Danio rerio: one gene and its partner. The protein of the gene in region 1 interacts with the protein of each later gene in a biochemical or structural test. Links are inferred from orthologs where the notes say so. Each region holds a gene or a part of one and is shown on either strand. Other genes may lie near its edges.

The links. The genes of interacting proteins can lie anywhere in the genome.
Region 2: of the proteins of lnx1 (region 1) and kcna4, one has a biochemical effect on the other in vitro, tested with the Homo sapiens proteins (2 studies listed by BioGRID and IntAct, with this or other methods). The link is inferred for Danio rerio from reciprocal best matches to the Homo sapiens genes LNX1 and KCNA4.

What each region holds. Positions count from the first base shown.
Region 1 is NC_133195.1:25,286,124-25,289,789, reverse strand, and holds part of lnx1 (E3 ubiquitin-protein ligase LNX), read right to left. Parts: intron 3,071-3,666; coding exon 2,812-3,070; intron 1,506-2,811; coding exon 1,347-1,505; intron 1-1,346.
Region 2 is NC_133182.1:32,643,647-32,646,304, reverse strand, and holds part of kcna4 (potassium voltage-gated channel subfamily A member 4), read left to right. Parts: coding exon 1-627; 3' UTR 628-1,866; intron 1,867-2,658. UniProt on the Homo sapiens protein: Voltage-gated potassium channel that mediates transmembrane potassium transport in excitable membranes. Forms tetrameric potassium-selective channels through which potassium ions pass in accordance with their electrochemical gradient.

The DNA of each region.
Region 1 (3,666 bases):
TTTATTAACACTTTTACATGTATGATCAGTCTTGGCTGGTCCCTGGAACATACGATCACACCGGTGTGATTAGAACATTCAGTGCCTCCCGTAATCAGCTGCTAAATTCAAGTCTGCTTTCCCGCGATGGCTCACGCTGAGCCATAGAAAGACTTGTGCGTCGCTTGTTATAAATCACAAATTATCAGTGATTTATTAGTGTTTTTAAACAAATAATTTTTATTAGATTACATTTAACTTTATTGTCATTACACATGTACAAGTAAAAGGAAACACAGATTAGGTCTAACCAGGAGTGCAAAAACAGTTATAAGTGCAATTTTTTATAGATTAATATACTATAAATATAATATCCAAGTTGTATTAACTATAATCAGAGATTTACAAATAGATGAATTATCTTAGATTTTAGACATTTAAATAGACATAAATACTTGCAAAACAACATTTATGGTTTGTAAAATCGCACTGATGTTTCTGTACATGACAATAATAATTATTTTCAAGTATAATTTGACTGTGCTGTATTCATGATATTATATATATGATGCAGCTCTGTTACCTAGTTACCTAGCTGGGGACTATTTTCAGATACTGTCTTTTGCCCGATTCACATGGGGCTTCAGCGTCAACACTTGATGGAGGCCGTGTTTGAAGTTGGGTCTGATGCGATCATCATAGCAGCATCAGCCAATGAAATTAGCCCGCAATCGCCTATTGTCAGAGCTAGGGTATTTGCATAAAGTGATCTAATTGGCTGATGCTTCCGTTGGCACTTAAGAATTTACTTTTGCAGTGAGCAGCGCTGCTGAAGCGACACTTACGGATCCACAATTGAGTTCGGCAATGCTTGACGTTACCCATTCGAAGTGAATGTGAAGCATTGACGCTAACGCACGTGTGAATGGGGTGTAATATCATTGCATAACAGCAAAGTTCCTTGATTATTATGCCAGAATGAGAGTACAGAACTATATAGAATAGCAACTTTTCCCTAATCATCAGTCTTAGTACAAGATATAACTACATAAGTGTCAGGCTTTGAATATAGGCAAATTATTGAAACTTTTTTTCTTTTTTGAGTGACATGCTAATAGTCAGTCCGATTCAGTGATCTACGCTAATCTAAGCTAAAAGTTCTTCCGCCATATCAGGAGATTGACCGGTTGGATTAAAAAATATTGGGAAAACTCCAAAGTTTAACTCTAGTTTCTAGAAAAAAAGTGAACTGTTGCTTTAACCAATCATATGGGTTTCCGTGATTTTTGTTGGAATGGAACTTTTTGGAATTGTAGTTGTACATAAAGCATGCTTTCTGTTGAAAGTAGACACTGTCTTGTTCGTACCGTATCCTGCCATCGTTGTAGGCTGGTGTTCCCTCTACAATTGAGCGAATAAAGAAGGACTGGTTACAATTGAGTTCTTCTTGTCCACCAACAATGCTGAAACCCAGACTGCCAGACGTGCTCCTGCGGAGGACAATGTCTTTACAGCAATAGAGATGCCTGGAATGGACAGAAAATTCAAGGTTAATTTTATTGTCATTCGGCAGATATACAGAGGACAATAAATTATGCAGCAGGAGGTCAAAGCATACAATAGAAAAGCCCTTAAAGGAATTGCATTTCATTGCGTCACTTTTGAAATGGTGGCAGATTTTTATTTTATTTTTTTTTTATGTTACATAGATCTAAATGAAGGTGATCTGTCTGTTTAGACCTTTAAAGACAGAACAGTAAATGAGATACATGGAGAATAATTCATTTATATTAATAATTTATAAACAATTTGTGCCTTATTTTACAGAGATATCATTTTTAGCTACTGTTATGAATATTAAAATATTAAAGGCCAGATTTTGACCACATGAGACTGAGACCTCAGATTTAGATTGGATTTCTGTGAAATAAAATAATGTAGAAATGAATAATCAAAATGTAATAGACAAAAGATAAACACAGAACTAGAAGAAATAAATTGAAAGAGAGGCTGTGAAAGGTCTATTTAAAGCCGTCACACTTTCACTGTGTAAACCCGTTACAGACTGAGGGTGAGAAGGGCTTTCCTCAACCCTGCTCTCACTTTTTCTTCACTGCATACCACTTTCTGAATTGTTATGCATTATGAAGTAATTTAGGAAGTTGTTAAGAACTTTCACACTCCTTTCAAATTCCCACGGATTTATTAAATACCGGCAGAGGAAAAAAGCTTTGAATGAGAGGGAGGAAAATGAGAAAGAAGAAAACAAAACTATATATTAGGATTTGGGCAAATAAATAATATTAATAATAATAATAATAATAATAATAATAATAATAAATGTTTGATCAAAACAATGTTTGTAGCCCTGGCTTTACTTTTCAGTGTCACTTTATTTTATATAAATGTTTTTTTCCAGTTTATTACTGTACTTAATATTAGATGTTCATTAAAATATATATAATAAATTATTTCAATTAAAAAGTCTTTAAAAATCAGTCTTGGCTTGCTTGCTTATTTTTGTTTGTATTAATTAATTAATTAATTAATTACTTTTTAAAATGAAATAAACATGACCTGTAGTGTATATAATTTAATTTAACTTAATTATTAATTTAATTATTAATTAAATTTAATTCAATTTAGCATGTTGTCACTTTTACATTAATCTTTGCTAAATTCCCTGAAATCTTTGCTGAAGTCCTCACTTATTTGCACTGTAGGAATCCTTAACTGTTTTCAAATCTGCTTTGTCCAATATATAATTGTGATAAATCTGATAAAGAGAAACCCACAAACAGTTTTATTTATGTGTTATTCTGCACATTGTACCTGGGCAGCTGTAGCCAGGACACCCAGAGTGGGGCGTAGTCATCATTGGGCGGGGGAAGTTTGACATCTCCGGGTGAGGAGGGTGAGAGGGCGCAGGGCGAGTGCAGGGGTGGCATGCAGTCCAGCGAGCTCTCGTTAGGGGGTCTCATTTCCAGCACCTGCAGGACCACCGGGGATGAGGTGTTCTTGAGGTTGGCCACAGCCTCGCTCCGGGTCACACCTGTCAGGTCGACTCCATTCACATTCAGGAGGATGTCACCTAAAAGATGGAATAATCATTTTTACTATGTGAATCACAAGACTGGAAGAGTATGGTTGTTGGTGAGGTTTTGTTGATTGGAGACAGTTTTTCATTATTTGAAACAACCTAAAATATTGCTATGCAAATTTAATAGAATAATGTGCATGCTAGAGTCATGCACAACATGGTTATAGAGGTTTATTAAGACTAAATGGGTCATTTTATGGGTAATTTATAATAGCTATTGCATTTCATTTCAGTTAATTCTTTAGTGCTTAATTCTGTTCTATACACTTGTAGTTTAGTAATTTTCACGAAACAGCTGAAGACCCCCCCCCCCCAAACACCTAATAATTCTAGTGTATTCTGTTTTTACACTCTCTATTCTTTTATTTCACCTTTCTATTCTGTAAACCACATGTGGTGCATCAGATCAACTGGAACTTATCCTAGCAGTGCTCCTTTTCAGTGCTTTCTAAAAAAATTGATAACATTTCTAAATGTCACTTATCTGTTTTCTATTTTGTCAAAAGTATGTATAGTCTTCCAATACTATTTCTACTTTTATTCCATATTTTTGTAATAGGTTAATAAAGTGTGTTCTGACATAAATG
Region 2 (2,658 bases), on another chromosome or scaffold:
CTCGTCCGGGTGTTCAGGATCTTCAAACTGTCTCGGCACTCCAAAGGTCTCCAGATCCTCGGGCACACTTTACGCGCGAGCATGCGAGAGCTGGCGCTGCTCATCTTCTTCCTCGTCATCGGCGTCATCCTGTTCTCCAGCGCGGTGTACTTCGCAGAGGCGGACGAGCCCACGTCACAGTTCACCAGCATCCCAGATGCGTTTTGGTGGGCTGTGGTGACCATGACCACGGTGGGCTACGGTGACATGAAGCCCATCACGGTCGGGGGCAAAATCGTGGGCTCGCTGTGCGCCATCGCCGGCGTCCTGACCATTGCGCTTCCAGTCCCCGTCATCGTGTCTAACTTCAACTACTTCTACCACCGGGAGACTGATAACGAGGACCAGGCGCCCGCCGTGGAACAACCCCCACCGGGTTGCCCCTACTTTCCGGATTTCCTGAGAAAATTCAAGGGGTCCCCATCGGGCTCATCTTTAGGTGACAAGGCTGCGGAGTACATGGAGATGGAGGAGGGCGTGACGGAATCTCTGTGCGGGGGTGACACGCAGAGCCCGAGCAGAGGGAACGGTACTGACTTAGGCGGGAAAAACAGTTCACATTCACGAACCCTACAGACAGATGTATGATTATGGAAGAACGATGACCTTTCATCATGATGACTGCACAAATGAATCAGTTAACAGCACACACATGCACAACTTGAAGACACACACAGTACGCGCGTGCGCAGACACACTGTCTCACACACATTAAGTTCTGGACCTGAGCTGAAACTTTTTTGCAATGTGGCTGGCTACTTTTGTAGAGAAACATACCCTGTAATCACATGACAGGCAACGCAAAAATCACCAGCTTTACGTGACGTGGAGAGGTGTCTCTATCTGCCCGCCTGTTCAGTTCAGTTGACAGAACCGAACGACTCCCGGTTCATTAAATGAAGGAACTTGCATAGGCACTTTATGAGTTACATTTGTCAGTAATTGTAGGAAAAAGAGGCGAGTTCTTATCTAATGCTATTATGCAATAACGTTTAAATCGTTTGCACTATCATCAATTATGTTCTAGTCTCCCACTTTAATGCAGAGGAAAGAAACACTGAGCTAGAGAGAGAAACGACCCCATAGCAATCATGTTTTAAATTGCATTTATAATTAATTCCAAACAATAGCAAACATACGCTGTCCACGACCAATTCAGCTAACAGGAAGGAATTTGTTTCACTATTAGAATTAATTGGAGAGCAGCATGTTGCATAACTTAAGGCTATGTTATCTTAAAAATCCCATTGTGGCAAACATGTGTCCGCATGGCAGTATTCAGTATGTACTACACTCTGGTAAAAAACCCTTTTAGCACACCCTGTGTAGTTATTTGTGCATCGTCCAAAGTGACTAAAGAGTCATTATAGTCGGTCCCTTTTGTGAGTATTGAAAACAAACCAATCATGTTCGTTTTTGTTCATTAGCACAAGATCCACACCACACTACAGTTCATCCATCACGCGATCTAGGCGTCATTCTTTCGCAGCATTATCACATACAGAGTCCAAAATAACCGGTTTGCATTGTCTCACAAAGTAAAACACCTTGTACAACAGAGTCCACACCGACACCGTGGCTTGAAGGATCAGTTTGGCCACTGTTTTCAAGTTACTGTCTTGGGAGTTAATTTCAAGGGGAATGCTTCATGCAACTATCTTGTCTTCATCCCTTTACCAAATGACAATGCATCCCTTTATTAAAATGCTGGCGGAAATCTACAGCACTGATGGGAACATGAACTTGGTGGACTTCATGCACAGCGAATCCTCGTCTCAAAGGAGTGCACGATGACCACTGAGCATGCGCGGTGCATCGCAAACCCAGGTAAGTGTTTTCTGCTGCATCAAGACTCAGTTCAGTCACTCAGTCACGCTGTCATTACTCATGCTCAGATTTACACGCCGTCCAGATGTTTACGCATGTGCGCAGGTGTTTATGCATCTGCGTGGACCCGCTAGTTGCCTGTCAGGCCCAGAAACAGGTGCTCCACGTGATCTCAGCAGGCATGTGATTTCAGATCTCATGTTTTCTTGTTTCATAATAATACATCAACAATGCCTTGAATTGCTTAGCAACAAGGGGCTTATTGTCAGAGAGACGACTGACTGTGCTGTGTTCCCTTGGAATCCAAAAATCCTCATTTGCTCATGAAGTGTGCTGAGCTTCATTTTTCTGATGTCATAATAACTATTACTGATTTTTCTAGACAAGATAATGACCGTTTAATCTGCAGTAAACTGAGATTTTGTCATGACATGCTACACTGAAAAATACGATTTTTGCTAAATTGTTGCAATCAATTTACACTGCTTTTGCTGCTTGTTCAAACTACGTATTCAAAATGAGTTGAAACAACACAATTCTTAAGTTTGTTTTGGGACAACTTAATTGTTTTATGTTCAGTCCACTTAAATTTGTGAAAACCACTATTTCAACTTAATTGATTTGTGTTGGAACAACATGAAGGAATTGTGTGGAACCCAGCATTTCTTTACAGTGCATACACTGTAAAAAGTAACTGTACCAAAAGCCAGTAAACCAATTCCTTTAAAAGCAACAAGTTGCCTTCACAAAGATAATATGAGTAAAAACATTTCAACTTGGAACTGTTACATT